2 linked regions of the Lepisosteus oculatus genome follow. The protein of the gene in region 2 purifies or fractionates together with the protein of the main gene of each other region. This does not show direct contact. Links are inferred from orthologs where the notes say so. Each region holds a gene or a part of one and is shown on either strand. Other genes may lie near its edges.

Evidence for each region. The genes of interacting proteins can lie anywhere in the genome.
Region 1: the proteins of lats2 (region 2) and Wilms tumor protein 1-interacting protein purify together in Homo sapiens (affinity purification with mass spectrometry; 3 studies listed by BioGRID and IntAct, with this or other methods). This does not show direct contact. The link is inferred for Lepisosteus oculatus from reciprocal best matches to the Homo sapiens genes LATS2 and LIMD1.

Annotation. Positions count from the first base shown.
Region 1 is NC_090705.1:41,500,654-41,510,289, forward strand, and holds the start of Wilms tumor protein 1-interacting protein, read left to right. Parts: upstream 1-5,875; 5' UTR 5,876-6,748; coding exon 6,749-8,081; intron 8,082-9,636. UniProt on the Homo sapiens protein: Adapter or scaffold protein which participates in the assembly of numerous protein complexes and is involved in several cellular processes such as cell fate determination, cytoskeletal organization, repression of gene transcription, cell-cell adhesion, cell differentiation, proliferation and migration.
Region 2 is NC_090710.1:31,920,721-31,930,163, forward strand, and holds the start of lats2 (serine/threonine-protein kinase LATS2), read right to left. Parts: upstream 4,506-9,443; 5' UTR 4,231-4,505; intron 1,094-4,230; 5' UTR 865-1,093; coding exon 550-864; intron 1-549. Other genes in the region: histone deacetylase complex subunit SAP18, read left to right, coding at 7,782-7,853, 8,378-8,487. UniProt on the Homo sapiens protein: Negative regulator of YAP1 in the Hippo signaling pathway that plays a pivotal role in organ size control and tumor suppression by restricting proliferation and promoting apoptosis.

The sequences.
Region 1 (9,636 bases), on a different chromosome or scaffold from region 2:
ACTTTGCTTAACGTGTGAGTTTCATCCACATATTGTGTGGACAAAGAGATTCATCCGGGAGACCCGTCAACTATAGGGACTAGGAACGAACACTTCTTTTTTGAAATATATTTGTGATGTCATGTGTTGATAAAGAGTAATGTAAAAACCTGCGATTTTTTAAAACAAAATACATCTGCCAACTTACTCGTTCCAGAATTCTTTTCTTAAAATGGAAAATCACCTGAAATATGTGCTGCCTCACGCTCTGTATCGGATCATGTCGTGACCTTCATCTTTGGGACCACGCTGAGTTGTTCCCTGACCCTGCCTGAGTGCTGGAATGGGGATTGTAGGATTGGTCCGCCCCTCTGTCCAATGAGAAGGGACTCATACCTGCTTTCGCTAGAGGGCGACTTTCAGCTCCTGCCTCCTGGGATTGCAGTCCACTTTGTGACAGTGACAAATGGGGAGTAAAAAAATGGCCAAGAAGAAAAAATAAACGGCTTTTTTTTTTGCATGGCGCCTTCTCACAGTTGTTGAAGTTCATTTTCTATTAACAAATGACGGCAAAAAAAAAACGCTTCGTTTGGGAGCGTTTTAGAAATATTTCACAGATTTCAAGGAGAAATTTAAAGAGATTTTAGGCTCTGCTTTTTCAGTTGAAGCAAACCCACAAAAAAAAAACCTTCAAAACTTTCCTTCTGTTCCAGTCTTGATCCAAGTTTGCCGAAAAAGCAATTTCGCACTTGGGGAAGGTTTTGGCTCCTGGCTGCTTTTAAGAACTGAGTCATTCTACCACAGCTGTGTACTGTACTCGTGTGACTTTATGGAACCGACAGTCAAATGGAAGCAGATCTGGGAACATTTTAAATCTAAGCAATGCTGATGAGTCATTGAATTTGGAGGTTTTTCTACCTTGTACTCCCATCAGATCTCAGAATTTTAAGTTACTAAAACATTAAAGTTAACTTTCCTAAGTGCATGAACCTCCTGTGTCCTCATCCTCTGCTTTTTTAATACCGCACGTGAAATAGAGATTTTTGTAAAAAGGTACACTGAAGACTGAAAGAAACCTCAATAGCACATGCAGTGGTTCCTGCCAGGTTTTTATATAGGCGATTCTAAATGAAGGATTCAGCAGTGACTAAACTGGCTGTCTGCTTCCGTTCTGCCCATTTCTGTATTTTGGTCATCACTCGATTTATAACAAGATCAAGCCGGTGATTGTTGTATGAATCTCAGTACCTCATCCAGTCAGTAGATTGCGGAGAATTAGAAGAACTTTGACACACTCCTTTTCTTTAACTTACGATTCTTCATTTAAAAGCCAGGGCATATGTGAGCTCTCTTTAACCTGCACTCTGTATTAAAATTTCTCATTTTGGTTTTTGTGCAGTTTAAAATGGCCTGCTGTTCTGAGAACATTTGACTGTATAGCTTCCCTTTTTTTTTCCTGTATTTAAATTGCCGTGAGCATAATACTGAAATGTGGGCAGATTGCAATTATAATGCAAGGATATAAACAGCAGAGTGCATTTCAGAAAATGCATGCATGCCATTCTATATAGCTTTAAACCTAACTCCATGGCTTGCTGTAAATAATCATCTGATTATACCTATTAAGGCTGGAGCAGAATGCACCTCCGGGGCAAGTCTGATTCATATAGAGACTGAAGAATGTCAATAACAAGGTACAGGGCATCATATTTGCAATGAGGCATCCCTAAGCTGGGTAGAATAATCTGTCCTCGCTGTTAAATTACTAATTGTATTTTGCGTTTATTTAGAGTCAGCTGACTGTTCAGCCTTGAAATTCTGTCATTACTTCAGCGTGCTATTGATTTGCAACAGCTTGCCTGAAACGCCTTGGGTGTGTGTTCTTTTTAATCAGAACCACTCAGCTTACAGTCGCCAACTCCAGGCTTTCTAAGCAGTGTGTAGTAATTTGGTTGATGCTAAGTTACGGGGTTTCTTTGATAAACAGTAATTTAGATTTTTACTTTGTGCTGCGGGTGTTGAGTGCACGGTTATGCAAAATAAAGGAAAACTTAATAATTAACACAGATCCCCTCAAATACAGTGTTTATCTTTATTTCTCAACAGAAATTGCCCTTCTTCTTTCTCCCAGCTCATTGTGTGCAGGAGATTCATAGTGCACCAGAGCTCTTCATCAGAAAACTCAGGCCAGGCAAGGAATCCAGTTCACTTGTGCTGAAATATGTATATTTTTAAATTACCACCTACTGGTCCACCAGTACTGGTGGTCCAAGAGACCTACTGGTCTCTTGAAACAGTAACAGGGTGGTCTCCCATCCCAGTACTGACCAGGACCCGCTCTGTAAAGATCAGGCCAGTGATATGCATTTGCTTCAGAATGTGCATGAGAAAAGGAAGGGTAGACAAGACTAAAAAAAGTGGGCACGATATCATGATGGTTTGCTCTGTCATATGTTTGCCTGTGCTACACACCCACCCTTATTTTCTAAAAGAAACGTCCAAAATGCATTACTTTCAGAAATACAAACTTAAGCAGCTTTAGCCAACTTCTGAGTATGTGACTGCTGCCCTCTGCCAGAATAAACTGCCCCTTTGAGTCAAATTGGATTTGACACTGGGGCTTTACACTGAAGGTTTAATTATCACTTTAAGAGCTATCTCCAAGACAACAAGAACGACGCTCGTTTTCCAAGTTTACGTTTTGTGATGCACTGGGTCTGATGAAAATTGCCGCGTTCAAGTTGTAATTTGGTGGAAAAGCAAAGCAATTTTAACAGAGAGAAGTCTTTCATGAGCTGGGTGGGGTACTCTAGTTAGAAGATTTTGGTATATTGCCCCCGTTTCACAATTTGACTATTATATAGCAGAGACTGGATATTAAGTAACTTGTCATCCCTGGCTATTTGTGATGGTAAGATTGCACAATAAAGCTTCATTGTTTTACAATCAGCATTCTGGGGAAACTGTTACACACATGCAGTGTTTATTATTAGACACTGCAGCCACTCATTCTTTCCTGTTATGCTTTCGCACTCAGAAACACTGCCTCTGTTGCTTGCTCTCTGCTCCGCATCGCACTCCTGTTTATACTACACGTAGGCAGTGTGATACATGATTTTAAAAAACACTGGTACCCTCGTTCTACCATTTCCTAGTGATCACGTGGAAAGAAACAGCTTTTTTCGGTTTTCTCCAGCAACAGGTTCAGTCAAAGAATGATCAATACAAGATCTCTAGAAAGTATTGAAAGCATGAGACCAGTTCTTCCAGTAGGGAGTGTTCTCAAATCACCCTAAATAAGTACTGCGCCCTACAGTGAAGCACCAACTACATGAGGTATGTGGCAGATGCACGTCAACGTGCAAGAATAATTTCGAAGCTGCAGTATTTTACCTGAACGAGCTGTGTGTGAAGTGAGAGGTCTTGTCGTTCCTCCATCTCTTGATTTTACTCTGCCTCTTATTACGCTTTACGTTTCTGTTCATTTCGTGTTCAAACAGCGGAAATAAAGGAAACGCTACTGCAAAGCGTCCAGACACATGTAAACCACGTTGTTGACATACCGTTGTTTGACTTAGGTTTTCACGTTCTAGTGAGAATAAGAGGCAGTGATACCTGTTCAGGTACTCAAGTCCTTGACAAAAACAAATTGCATGGACTCACGAGGGACTGCCCTTTTGTCTGGAGTAAGAGGGGGCCACATGTCTGCATGGAAACAGCAGTGATATTTATTTTACCAGTGGGCGTATCAAAGCATATTTATGTTCCACAGAAGTTAGGAAGGCGTGACATCATGTTAGCACAGTAACACAGGCGTCCTGTTGTAGTCAGAACCTGGTGTTTTTATTTCAATCAAGGTGTGACGCGATAGTGCATCCTCCTTCCTTAAACGTAATGACCGAATTCTGCTATTTTCAGTAGGTTAATAACCTTGATGTATAAACTTACAATTAGCCAACTTAAGCAAGACTTTAACCCCAGGTTCCGTCTACGCTTTGGAACCTGAAGTTCTTGTGACTTTATTTCTGGAGAGTAAGTTCTGGCATCAAAATCAAACCCAGCGTACCCCGAAAGTCACCCGAATACTTCAAGTCATTAATAGTTACTCACGCTTCGTTCCCCAAGTTGCCGCCCCAAAACTACAACAAGCTGTCAATCCAAATTGGTTGAATCAGATCAGTAATGTGGAGGAATCGTTTACATCACGACAGGTACTATTGTGTTTTTCCTCAAACATCTATAAAACAAAGTTGTTATAAAGACTGCGCCGCTGCTGAACTATCTTCTAAAAGCTGAAAAAAGTTTAGGGAATAACTCCAGTTTCGGTGCAATGTTTCTGAAACAGATGCTAATATACCCAAATTCTAATAATCATGCAAAATTAGTCTCAAACCACTGTAGTGGATGTGAAGTCTGTGTTTTTGTGGGTATGGTTTTGATAACCTATTAGAAGAACGATTCAATGTACCACTATGAAACATTTCCCTCAACCCTACGATGGAGCTAGTTTTCCTACGCATTTTTGTACTGGCACTTCCTGCTCCTATAAATGTTTTCTGTTTTTAGCATTCATGTTTTAATCACAATAATTCACTTTATAAATGTTGATACATTTGTATTTCAGCCAAATGGGACATGATCAGAAGGGAAGAATTCTCTCGACAGATACTGGAGGTTAAATCGGCGAATGTGTGCTAAGAAAACGGTGTTTTTTTTGTACAAATAAGTAAGAGTTTGAATCGGCAAAAGAGCGTAAGGGTGTCAGCAACTTTACTTTATCAGGAGGATGCATCTCAGATCTGCTTAAAAGATGTCAGATTTCCCGGAACAGGAATGTGAATCTCATAAGCAATATGACCAAAGCCGTTTTCAATATCATTTTTCTATAACAAAGCAACAAAGGCGTGCACAAATTTAACCGGTACTCAATGTATCAGTGCCTCTCAATAATCCATCATTTTCTATAAACACACTGTAACCTTCCCTGAGTATTTTGAACTATATTCCGTACAGTGTGATTCGGTGTTCTGAAAAGGCAAGGCTTTTGTAAGACATTTATCCGAGAGACAATGTTTATAGCTAAGAATTCAGTGACGACAGTTTTTTTGTACTTTACACTAAAAAGAGTTTAGTTTCTGCTCAACATTAATAGTAGAATAAAAAAATAAAAGGGGACTCTCTTAGTAGAGCTTCAAGATAAGGCATGTGACTGAATTAAATTATACTATATTCAAGATACAGTTGGATTATATAGTAGAGTCACCATAAATAAAGCCGTTAATGAGTTTGACTTTGCTGGACTTTTTACATTTTGCACATAATGCCAAGCTATGAGGAATGGCAAACACTACAAAAGCCAAGGTTACGGAAATGTTTATAATTCCTGTTCATTACAATCCGAGTCCGATGGAGCAGAATAAAACAAACACAGGCACAGGATATGATGACTGATAAGAGGCAGCGCTTGGTGTCAATATTTGAAGTGTTATCATGTAGTATTGTGGAGCCCTTAAAGCAATATCCCGCACAGAGTAATGGAATTAAATTACATTTGCCTTAAGCAGGGCATATTATCAGAGGAGGAAAGTCTAGTCTAGTAAACCCAATAATCTTCAGGGTGTATTTTTAATGGAATCCCTCAGGATGAAATTCACTCTATAGATGAATTGTATTATTTTAGCAATAAAGGTTGAGAACACGAGGTTATTTTTTTTATATCCAGATGGTTGTAGGAGCTTGGTACAAGTTTACCCTGGCGCCGATATTTAAGTACTTCAAGTCCCCAGAAGCTTACACGCCGAACAATAATATCGATTGCCATTATCTTGTAATTATCCATGATGTTACTTGTTCGACATGGCGGCAGGTTTGTGGGCCCGAGCTGACTGCACACCGCACAACACGAGTTTCATTCAGGACTGGCCTCGCACGCTGCAGTTCTCCGGCTCCCGGGCCAAAGTTAAATGCCGCCTGTACCTTTAAATGCTACCTCAGAGCCTGCAGTGTGTGTGCTCGCCGTCCAATGGTCTACATTCTCCTTTTTGTCCCTCCTGTGTCTGCCCGAAATATTTTCCGCTAGCGCGTCTCGCAGCCGCTTGGCTGGAGTTCACTGTGCGCCGGAGCTGCGCCGCAGAAGGGGACTCCTTCGCCGCCTGCCTGCCTGCAAACTTCGGAGAAACTTTTCGGAGGCTGCCGCTTCCGCGTTGAGCGCCATAGCAGGAGGTTTGGTAAACTGGGGGAACAGGGTCCAGCCTAGATCACCAGCCCTCTGGAGCCCGACAGCATCCTGCCGAGAGCGGAGCTGGCCGGGCAAGGCGAGCGGAATAGCGCACCACCACCTCCAGCACTTGGGTTGTGCGGTGCTGCAAATCACAGGAGACGTTTGTGTAAAACGTTGCATGAGTCCAAGTCCACGTCTGTGCCTTTTGTTTCTGCACTCTCCCCCCCACTACCACGCGGATAATCTGGAAGTGTGACATTTTGCCGACTCTTTGACATTATGTGGAGGATTTGAGAACACGCCGGGACAGGATCAAGGTGGCGCAAGAAAAGGTATCGGGCATTTCTGAATTCTTCTCTTTCACCGGGTTCACTCTGAATCTCTGATGTCGCGTTTCTGATACAGCGATTAACTGTGCTATGAAGTGGCGTGCTCAGTCATGAGCCAAGTTAGCTGCGCTTGGAGACGGCTTTTGTACACCCTCGCCTTTTAGCAGCCGATTAATACAACCTGACGTTTGATTACGAGACAGCCGCGTCTATTCCAAAAATGGATAAATACGATGATCTGGGGCTGGAGGCGAGTAAATTTATCGAGGACCTCAACATGTACGAAGCGTCGAAAGACGGGCTGTTCAGGACGAAAAGGGACTCGGGCAACAACCCGGACTTCGAAGAGACGAGGAAAGTTTTCGCCTCCAAAATGACCAAAATCCACATGCAGAAACAGCAAGAGGAGATGGCGAGTAAGCTAGCCGGGGCCAACGGAGGCGCCGGCGATGTGCCGAGCAGGGCTTCCGACAACGCGTTTTACACCCGAGACAGGCCGCCCATCAGTAACTTCAGGCAGACCGGAGAAGCGGCGGGCAAACCTCCTATATTATCGGGGCCCATGCCGGGCTCTGGTCTGTCCCCCGAGGGGCAGAAGCAGCCGCGAAGCCCCCACCACGACGCGCCCGAAGGCAGGACACCGGGCTACAGCAGCACTTGCTACAGAGAGAGCCTGGGGCAGCCCGCTCCCCCCGCGTCCTGTCCAGTGAGCCCCGGCGCCTCCTTCAGCCCAGTCCCTCAGCCTGCCCAGGGCGGTCACCCTGCCAGCCCCCCAGCAGCTTGGGGGACCCCTCAGGATACGCCCCAGGGAGCCCTTCGTGGCCCCGGGGCAGGTTGTGTTCCTGGCAGCCAGCAGCAGCCCCAGCGGCCGGCTGCCCCCTGCGACCCGAGGCCCGCCGGGCAGAGGTCGGGCTCGTTCTCCAGCGCCCTGTCTCCCACGCTGCCGTCTCCGGGGTCGGCCTTCAGCCGGGCCCGGGCGGGGCCGCCCCCCCAGAGGTCGTCGTCCTTCTCCTCCCCGTCACCCCGGCCCCCATCCCCGGAGTGGGTGAGGCCCCTCGTGGGGCCCACAGGGTTCCCGGCCCCCGCCCCGCCGGGCCCCTTCCGAGCCCACCCCGACCCCGGCGCCCCGGGCCCTGCCTCCAGGCCCTGTCCCGGGGACCTGCAGCAGAACGGGCTTCACCGGACCCCAGCCGCCCCGTGCCAGGCGGGCCCCGCGGGCCAGGCCTGCCCGCTGCCCCCCCGGATGGCCCCCGTGCCTCCCGAAGAGCCCCTCCCTCAGACGCCGGCCTCCGCCGGGGCCCCCGGCTCGGGCTCGGCCCAGGAGCCGGCCCCCACCCGCCGGCTGGCCACCGCTGTGCCCGTCCCCCCGGCCCCCGACGGACCGCTGGCCTCCCCCGAGCACAACCCGGGCCCCCCCAGGGCGGTCCGGCTGCCCTGCCAGACCCTCCGCGCGCCGCCGGAGCGGGGCCCCTCCACAGCCGAAATCAAACTGGAAGCCCTGGCGACGCGTCTGGAGGAGGAGATGGAGGCCCAGCCGAAGGCTGATTATTTTGGTAAGAAGATCTCGGCTTCGCTCTGCTTGCGTGCGTAAACGGTGCTGATTTCTTTTCCCCCTCCTTTTGGACGGAGCTCGAGGGTTTGCAGTGTTTTCCTCGGGCCGAGGGACTTGCCTGCTCCTGGGAGTCTGTACTGCTGTGCCGCTTGCGAGACGAGCACAAGCCTGGCCTGGGAATGGCTATTTCTCTCAGACTCGTTCATTTTAATTGCTACCTGGCACACACTTTCTGATAGTAGAACGTAAAGTTATTTTGGAGATAAAGACCACTGGAAATGGCTTGCTGTGAGTTGATAAACCTCAGCACTACAGGTGCAACGTCAGAGAAAAGCTGTGATGCACTAAGGTCCAGTGTGTTGTCCAAACGTTGGGCCCTGCCTAATGTGACGCTTTTCTAATTATCCTGAAGATAATTGGTTGCTTTACAGCACAAATTAACCGTTTACCTCACTTGGCAACATTTATTCGCCTTCTATTGTGTGATACCTATTCAGAATGGAAACTTTGAACGTTTGTCAGGATTAGCTAAATGTTTAAAAATATAGGCTGTGTATTGTGTTTGTGTAACTGTTGGTTGCCGTGTGGGCTTGTTCCCATAGAGTTTTCAATTTGCACTTTAAGTTTGCCATTGTGAGTGCCACAGTTAGTTCACTGGCACAGTCCTCTTTAAACAGTTGGGCACCCATGCTGCCAGATTGTCAGTCAGTAATGTCTTTGTTACTTAAAAGTAACACAAACTGGACTTTTAAGTTCCATGAAAACAACATTGTTGCACATAGGCTGGGACTTTGTATCCTTCTGCCAAGGTATACTTTGTGTGAGAGAATTTCCTTGCATTGTGAATGAATTGGTATGGGTGACATTATTGTGATTCTAGTATTTAGATCATCTTAGGACAAATTGTGATGGCATATAAGGGACTGAACCGTTCAATACCCCTTTGGTAAGCTCACAAGGAATCTTTGCAGTTTGTCTGTTAAAAACTGTCAAGCATATCTGAGGGATATTTTCAGGAAATATTGTGTTCCTGAGTGTGATCCCGAGTCATGTCACCGAGCGACTCTCACTGATCAGTCAGCTAGGAGTTTCTCTGTGCTCCTGATGGCATCCTGAGCCCTAGGGCTTCAGGGGCTCTTACAACAGGTGTGTCCGTGTCAGTGGTGAAGGACACACCTCTCCCTGACTCGCTGCAATGCGCTGCAGAGATTGTACCACATCAAGAACATGAAGGGGTCAGGAGTCCCTGTCGAGAGGAATTTGTCAGCACTTCCTCTGCATTCTCTGGTTGTGTCTACAGGAGTTGTTGTGAACTGGGGCACAAAGACGCAATTGTGATAAATGCATACAACTACACAAAATACAGCAACAGGAAAAATGGTACAGCGCAGGGCTGTAGTTTGTTTCTAGTTCTCTGAAAGCAGTCATTTGTTTGGTTCACTGGAGAAGACTATCTCATAGCCACTCCTCTGATTTGGAGTCAGGTCTGGTGCAGTCATCCGAAAAACAAGCTCGTGATCGGGGTCAGGTCCCCAGTCCTGTCGGAGAGATGCCTG
Region 2 (9,443 bases):
GACTTTTCAAAGGAGGCGTGTCGCTGCCACATACACACAGAGCATGGAGAACAGAGCCCAGCTCTCTCCAGGGCCACCCCTGTCCGTCCCGGGCTGAATCAAAGTAACCCGGACGCCTGCAGGACTAGGGCTGGTCAACGCTGATGTACAGATGATTCAAAACCTCACAGCTACTTTGAAAACAGAGTCGATTTTTGTTTGCCACGCCGTATGCAGCCTCGAGCTCAAAGGGTGTCTTCGTACTTTCTGAAGCAATTAATAACAGTCAAACTGGGCAGCCGAGACCTCCCCTCACACCCGTCCTGAGCGAGACCCCTGGCCACCCTCACATGACAAGACCCCGGCCGCCCCTGGAGCTGCTTCAGGAAACACACGGGGCTCTCGCACGCCTCGCGCCCCTGCCTCCTGCAAACCCTGCGGACCCCACCGAGCGTCTCCGCCCGCCTCCCACCGCCGGCGCCCCGCGAGTCAGGCGCCCGCGCCGCGCGGAGCGGCAGGCGAGGAAGAGGAGCCCCCCAGAGTCAGGAGAGAAGCCCCCCGCTGTGGTACCTGGTCGCACCCGGCGTTGACGAGCTCCTGCAGCATCTGCCGGTTGACCTCCGGGCCTGGCGAGGAGCCCGAGTCGTTGGCGAAGGGCAGTAGCGACCGCCGGATCTCGCGCAGGGCGGTCTGGTAGTTGCCGAACTTCTGGGGCGCGCGGGGGTGGTGCTGCTGCGGCGGCGGCCGGCCGCCCTCGGCGCCGCGGCCCCCCTGCAGCGCCTGGCTCACCAGCTTGGCCGGCTGCTTCAGGCCCTCCTTGATCTCCTGCAGGCGCTGCCGCGTGTTGCCCGCGTACGGGGTGGCGGGGAACGTCTTCGGCCTCATGGCCGCTCCCGCCCTCCCCCCGGCTCCTCTCCGCTTGGCCCGCGCCGGACGCTGCTCTCAGTCCTCCTCCCCGCCCCACAACATCAACGGACGGGCCGCCCAGAGCCCGCCCCGCCGCGCTGTCCGGACGCAGGCTTTAGTGGGGCCTCAGAGGACCGGGCTCCCCGCCGTCCTGCAGCCTGAGAGAGAAGGCGCCGTGCCCGCTGACCGCTCCATCCCCACGGGGCCTCTGGGAAGACAGACGGGGGGAGAAGCGTCAGCAGAGCCGCGCGCGACCGGGCCGAAGCAGGGCCAGGGCTGGACTGGCATCCCGTCCGGGGTGCACCGCTGCCTGCTGGGATAGGCTCCAGCTCCCCCGCCACCCCGAACTGGATAGAGGAAGTGGGATCAGCGGGGTGCCGTGCGCCATTTGACAGCCACACCAACAACTCTGACCCCCTTCCCTTTTCCTGTCTGCGCCCCCCCAACACACAGCGGGAGACAATGGGCATCTCTGCAGCTTTAGCGAAATGTCTATTCCCATGATCTGAACACACAAGATCCCCCAAAAATGCACATTTCCCCCCCCACAGGTAATAAACACCAGTTTTGTCAACATGTCTTCCTCTACCTTAACGGGCTAAATCTTAGCGGTGGCAGGACACGCAGTCATCTGAAACGGACACAGATTTCTTCTTCTTCTTCTGTGTAATACTGTCCGATTTGTTCGTATAGTCCTTTACGCGCAACGCCTACGTGTAAATGTTATACGTCTGCTGAAACTGCACACACTCTGGTTCTGTTAAGACTCTGAGGAGGCTGAAGGTCCACCTGATTAATACAGGCAGCATCGAGAAAGCCAGGGGCCTGGGTAGCCAACAGCTGTGCAAAAAAAACAGGCTCCCAATGACAGCAGTTAACAACAAACAACTCCACTCAAGACCCGAACGTGGAACCCAGACATACTGTATCCTGCTGACGGGCGCCGGGGGTGGACCCTTCGCTTGTCACGCGAAGTCTGTTCGTCAGCGGAGCTAACCGAGAGGCGAGACGCATCCGATTTTGTGAAAATCAACTCCCCTCCCCTCACGCTCGTTAGAGGTAAAAATCTCCAACTGCTTCATCTTGATCGCTAATGAAATCTCACGTGGACGAAGGCGGGAGCACGGGGTCACACCCAGGTGATGGCTACGTTATTTCAAAGACCCCAGAGCAGATAACAGCCTGGGCGGTCCACCCGTTGTCAGAGGTCCGCACCGACCCGGAGCCTGACCCGGCAGGACCGGGCGCTGGGCCCCGGGGACGGACCTGCCCCCCCACATACCAGCCGAGTCCTGCGGACCCTGTGGGAGGGTGACCCGAAGGCACAGGCTCCCCCAGGCTCTGCAGGGGAGCTCCACTGCCACTGCCCATGTCCCCAGAGGGACTGAGGGGACACCACTCCGATGGACAATAATAATTCATAGCTCCTCACACTTCTACAGCGCTTTTCTGGACTCTCCACTCAAAGCGCTTTACAGGTCATGGGGATCCCCTCCACCCCCACCAGTGTGCAGCCCCTCCTGGATGATGCACCAGTACGCTCCCCACACACCAGCTCTCAGTGGGGAGGAGAGCAGAGTGATGAAGCCAGTTCAGAGAGGGGGATTATTAGGAGGCCATGATTGGTAAAGGCCGGGGGAAATTTGGCCTGGACACCGGGGGGAGACATCCCTACTCTTTGTGAGAAACACTCTGGGACTTTTAATGACCACAGAGTCAGGACCTCAGTTTAACGTCTCACCCGAAGGACAGTGGCTTTTTACAGTACAGTGTCCCCATCACGATACTGGGGCATTAGGACCCACACAGACCGCAGGGTGAGCGCCCCCTGCTGGCCCCACTCACACCTCTTCCAGCAGCAGCCTTAGTTTTTCCCCGGAGTCTCCCATCCAGGTACTGGCCAGGCTCACACTGCTGGGCTCCAGTGGGGCTGCCAGCTGGGAGCTGCAGGGGGATGGAGCTGCTGGCCGCGCACGTTGTCACAGAGCCCCGGCAACACTAAAGCCGAGGGCCCGTCACGGACCGACTGCCCGGCCGCCGCCGGTCAGGTCTGCAGCCGTGGCCACACCCCATCACCCCTCCTGGGGGGGGAGGGATCTGGGGGACTCGGCAGCACCACCTGCACCGCCCTGCGAGACGCCGTGAGAGCCCCTTCTAACCCGCTGCTTCCCAGCACGCTTCTGCAGCAGCGCCTCCTGGACAGCTGTGTTGTTCCTACATTAGGTGCGCGATAAAACTACCTCATACTGCAGCGTGCTAACATTTTAAACACCCTAAAATGTCATTGGTAAGGAACATTCTGGATTTCTTCCATCTCCAGCATCATTTCCAGAAAAAAAAGGCGTGTTCTGTATAACGGAGAAAGAAAATAATATGCAACTTGTTTAAAAAGTTCGGAACGTGGGCAGGAGATCTTGACACGTCTTTATAATAAATATAAGACACACCTCTCCTGAAAACCATGCGGCTGCCTGCAGCTTACACTACCTCTAATGCGACTAAATTAAAAAAAAACCCTGATCAATCTGATAAATTACAGGGATGCTTCTGAAGTAAAACGCTGAGCTTTTATAGACGTCTATCGATACCTTTTTGCAATAAGTGCAATATCGCACAATAATGGAAAGGATAACGAACGCGGAGGTGTCCGGCCACCGCAGTCGAATTGAACCCGACTCTGCAGTTCAATCAACAACACAAACAGCGTGGCCGCTGGGAAGGACATGGACGCGACAACAATGTTTCACAACCTCCCAGTTCACAGTTCACACACAGTGGTGGGACGGTCAAGTTCATCTTTGTGCCTCTTAAAACAACACCCAGCTGTATCCTGTAACATCTGCTTTTCGAGAGACTTACACTCGGATACCGACCAGACTGTAAACGGGTTTTGAAGTCTGTCATACAGACGGCGGAGTTCATGAGAATCGAGAGACAGGGGCAGCGGGCGGCAGGCACGATATGTGCAGCAGCTCGCTGGGAAACACATGCAAGAGACGACGGTGCCCATTTAAACCGTGGTAACAGTGTCAGCTTTGTAGCAACCCGAAAAATGTTAAAAATGTACAAGACAGAAGCAGACGCTGCGCTGAACCCATCAACCGATACAGAGTATATACACGTCCACGGGCACCGACAGACGGGGAATTACACGATCTGCCCCCTCGTTTAATTTCTCTGCCAAGAAAAAAAAATCGGCACATTGAAAACGTTTTAGGCACTCAGCTCTGCTGCCGTTTTTCGGAACTTCGACTTGCATATGACAAAACATAATCATTACTGGCTGTGCTCTCTTCTCCCCACCTCCTTCTCGACAAAACGATGAAAACCCCTCCGACACCTTACCATCGTCTCACGGGCTCGTCTCGGTCCTTCGGAGCGCTGGCTGCCTCCCCAGCCCCTTCTGCAAGCCGCGTGTCTTTTATTTAGATGGCAGATCCCTAGTTAACGTCGTTCCCCCCTCCAAAAAAAAAAAAGTTAAGAAAAAAAACTTCACAGAGCCTGTTCGAGTTGGGGCTGAAAGTTTGCGATCTGGTCCTGATTGGAGTGACTGGAACGCAGGTCCGGAGAAGGAGCCCGACATTCCACCTTAGGGAGACTTTGAAGTTTCATCGGCCACCCCCCCCCTTCTATATATGTTGGCATGTGCGTGCGTGCGCGCCTTCAGTTGAAGACGAACGCCCCTACCCGCACCCCACATCGGCTGTCGAGAACAGAAATACATTTACGATTTTTAAAATTAAAAAAAAAATCATCGAACCGCCGAAAAAAAATCGAAAAGTTGCACCTTTCCCAGACGCGGGAGCATAGCAACCACTCGCAACAGCAAAACGCGTGCATTGTAAGAAAAAGTAACGGTAAACTCTCTAAAAACAAACAAACAAACAAACAAACAGAAATGCATCAGGAGAAGGGGAAAGTTACCTTATCTGCTGCTGCTGCTGCTATCGTGAACGGGGCTGTCCTTCAGCCACCCAGCTCAGCTCAGTGCCTGCGGCCGGGGCTCACGCCGGTATGAGGCTCCATTTTCTCCCTACAGTGGGCTGAATTAGGACGCTGTGCTCAGTTGGACACTTTCTGCATCGCTCGCATTCCAGGGGGAGCACGTGACGCCCCCGGATCACGTCAGCGGCCCGCGCGCTCGCGGACTGGGGGGCGCTTCTAGCGCTCGAGCGCGGCTTCGTGACCCAAGAAGAAAAAAAAAAACAAAACAACCAAAAACCCCACAGACGCGCAGGGCGCCCCGGGAAGCCAGGAAGCCGACTGGCAACACGCCCGAATGTGTGTCTTTCTGTTTTGTCACCCCCCCCCACACACACACACAAATCCCAGTGTTTAGGCTGAAGTCGTTATTGAGCCGCAAAGGAACAAGTTTTAGGTTCATTCCCGGCTGAAAAGAGAAGGAAGACAACACAACGTTTCGGCTGTTGAGCCTTCTTCGGGGGGTTATTCAGCCTGAGCAGATCTTAAAAATCAGTTGTTGGCTATAGAAATCGCGTCAGCTACAGATAACTAAACGTTCAGTTCATAGCTACAGGTGACTGTACATTTGGTTAAACGTACAAGGCCCCAGTAGCCAAAGTACAATTAAAACCCAGTCTTAGACGTAATAAATGAAGGAAAAACAAACATGCACTAGGAGCGGCAACCCCAAAAGTGAACGAGGGGCAGGTTGGTGAAGATCACCTCAAGACCCGCGTTAATTTCCTGCCATTTTAGCCAACATAACGCGTAAGAAGAAGCATCAATAACGCAGGACAGGATGAAACAGTCGCTAGGCTCCGGTTACTGAGGCTGGAGGGGTGCTTATTGTTTCAGATCTAAGCGGCCCAGAGCACTAAGGAGTGAAAATGTGCCGCTGGAAAAGCGTGTTAGAGTGCAAAGCAACCGACTAACATCGAGGGAAACCGACAAACGGCTTCCTTGTTTCAATGCTGTCATTGCGCTCTGGACAGTAAATCTAAGGACGAACCGTTTTGTATTGTTTTAAAACACGTCCAAACATCCACATAATTATCACGCATATTAATTCACGCACAGAGCGCTTTAAACACCATTGAGTTAACTCATCCAGATTAGATTTGAATAGCCTGGTCACCAGGACAGCCTCTTCTGAATCGGCTAGTTTGTGACAGCTTCTTCCAAGTGACAGTTTTGTTGTTTATAATTTCTTCCCACTGACCCTCTGTACCACAGTCCCCAGTGTCTCTCAGCTCCTTTTAATAGCGCTGCGATCCGGTTCGTCACGCGTTGCATGAGCAGATCTTGCTAGATGTACAGCTACAAGGAGAGCTGAGGAATTCAGTGTGACAGACGTGTTTGCGCCTGAATTACGTCGGATTATATCTCCTGGTAGTGATGCGGATCAGCTGGAAGACCGCGTTGTGTTAGAAAGTGAGCTATTATCTTTGTGACCCGTGGACCCGTTATGAGGTCCCACTGGGAAACACGACACAGGTTCGCAGACTCAGCCCGTCAGGAGTTACAGTCAAAGAGCCGCAGTACAGTCGGGGGGGGGGGGGGGTCTGACTGTAAATATGTTTCCTCCCTCTTTGTAAACCAGAGGTACAGTATGGAAAGGAAAAAAAAGCAGAGCAGATATTCTTTTCTTATCTCTCTACAGACCAGAGTGTCTCAGTGCATTAATAAAATTCAAAATGTTGAAGTACTGAATAAAACATAATAAATACCTCTATCAGTTCCACAGAGTGTTGAATTGCTTCATCTACGGATTGCTTAATATCATTTTTTTTTAATGAGTGACTCTTGGATGATCTCAGCCAGTAAAAACCTTCCGTTCAAAACTGAAGAGATGGACGTATTTTTCACAGAAGCAGGAAAGCGGACACCTACTGTAGCACACAAGCCCTAAGGAATGGCCTGGGCTGGAATATCTTGAAAGCACACATTGAAAGTCTCGACACAGGTAAAATAAACACAAGAACAGAATGGATACGGGCAAAAGGAGGCTTGTTTGGTTATTAAAAGCAAATTGACCTGGGAATCTTATTTAGCCTTCTCTTTAAAGAAGCAAAGTCAAATACACGCAACTACCAAAATAATGGAAACACCAACAATATGACATATTAATAACATCTTCAATGGTACATACTGTAATACAACTGCACTTTACAAAAAAGATTTAACAAGATAAGTAAAGATAAGGAAAAACTCTTGGGAAAAACTAAGGTTGCTGCTGGAAGAGGTGTTAGTGGGGCCAACAGGGGGCGCTCACCCTGTGGTCCATGTGGGTCTTAATGCCCCAGTATAGTCAAGGTCCTGACTCTCTGTGGTCATTAAAAATCCCAGGGCATTTCTCGAAAAGAGTAGGGGTGTAACCCCGGTGTCCTGGCCAAAATTTCCAATCGGCCCTTACCAATCATGGCCTCCTAATAATCCCTATCTATGAATTGGCTACATTACTCTGCTCTCCTCCCCACTGATAGCTGGTGTGTGGTGAGTGTTCTGGCGCACTATGGCTGCTGTCGCATCATCCAGGTGGGGCTGCACACTGGTGGTGGTGGAGGGGATCCCCATTACCTGTAAAGCACTTTGAGTGGAGTGTCCAGAAAAGCGCTATATAAGTGTAAGCAATTATTATTATTATTATTATTATTATTATTATTGTTATTATTATATAAGGTCCGCACAGCTGTCATGTTCTTACTGTTAGAAATAATCACCTTTAACCTAAGCACTTCAGAATAAAAAGGGTGTGCGCCTATTTTAGTCATTATACGATACGGAGAAGTCGCATTTTGATTGGCTCCATAGCCTTTAAGCTCATTCGCGGGCTACGTATCCTGTTACGTCATCACGACCCGTGGGTTGAACCGGAAGTTATACTTGTGTTTGTACGGGGTCGGCGTGAAGACGCGGGGGCGCTTTCTGGGAAAATGGCTGTTGAATCTCGAGTCACTCAGGAAGAAATCAAGAAAGAACCCGAAAAGCCCGTCGATAGAGAAAAGGTGAGTTGTGTTAAGCCGTTTTTGTCTATCGAAGATGCGCACGCACGGTTTGAGTGGTGCCTTGTATTTTGTTTTCTGGAAATGTGTGGAACGGTGTTGTGTTGGTCTCCATTAAACGCTTCAGTAGGTATGTGCTGTGTAAAACTGTGTTTTCATTTCGTGTTTCTTCGCATTTTGGGTAGTTGTACAGTGTCTCCCTCAAAGACAGTGAGACTTATTGAGTTTTCAGTTAAAACGATTTACTTTCTCTTCCTAATTGCTGCCAAACGTGTGCGATGCGAAGCAATACGAGTTGAGAAAACGGCGATAAAGTATATGTTTTTCTCACTTTCTTTCCTTAGTGAGCAAAATATACTTAAAGGTCATTTATTTACTTACAACGCGATGAATGTAGATGTAGCTAGCAAGTTTGTAATGCATCTTTTGTGAAACACGATGGTGAGCAGATACCACGCTTGAGACCACCTATCGGTTTCCCGCAACTGAAAAAAGCTAGGTACTTATTTTTGTTGTTTTGTTTGCAGACTTGCCCGCTGCTGCTGCGGGTGTTCACCACGAACAACGGCAGACACCACAGAATGGACGAGTTCGCCAGGGGAAACGTGCCCTCCAGCGAGCTGCAAATCTATACCTGGTAGGTCTGATGACACTTCACACCACGGGGCTCCCTGCTTGGGCCGGGGGAGCCCCACCCCAGCAAGTTGTTTTATAGGTCATCATAAAATAAGCAGTTTCTGAAGATATGGACCAATTCCACTGTAACCACCCCTGGAGCAGCTGGGGTTAAGGGCCTTGCTCGGGGGCCCAACGGAGTAGGATTCCTCTGCCGGCTGCGGGATTTGAACCAGCAACCTTCCAGCCACAGGCACAGATCCTGAGCCATAGAGCCACTGCACCGTTAAATTAATTTAGAGATATTTTAGGACTAAAATCTATGTACTTCTCAGATTTCAGGGATTAGTTATATTAATGATATCCTTACACCTATATAGCTCTTTTCTGGACACTGTACTCAGTGCTTTGCAGGTAATGGGGATCCCCTCCACCACCACATGGATGATGTGGTGGCAGCCAGAGTGCTCCAGGCTGCTCCCCACACACCAGCTCTCAGTAGGGAGGAGAGCAGAGTGATGAGGCTTATTGGGAAGCCATGACTGGTAAAGACCAGGGGGAAATTTGATCAAGACATTGTGGTAACACCCCTACTCTTTTTGAGAAACACCCTTGGATTTTAAATGACCACGGAGAGTCAGGACCTCGGTTTATTGTCTCATCCGAAAGACGGTGCCCATTTACAGTTTGGTGTCCCCGTCACAGACCCACACAGAACGCAGGGTGAGCGCCCCCTACTAACACCTCTTCAGCAGCAACCTGAGCTTTCCCAGGAGGTCTCGCATCCAGGTATTCGCCAGGCTCACACCTGCTGAGCTCCACTGGGTTGCCAGCTGTGAGTTAAAGGGTGATAGAGCTGCTGGGTCTCTGTTAATTGAACAGATTACTTGCTTGGTCAGTGTTGTCTTACAGTCTTTAAAAAGAAGTTGAGCAGTACTGGGGCTCTCCAGGACCAGCTGGACAGACTAACTGACCAGA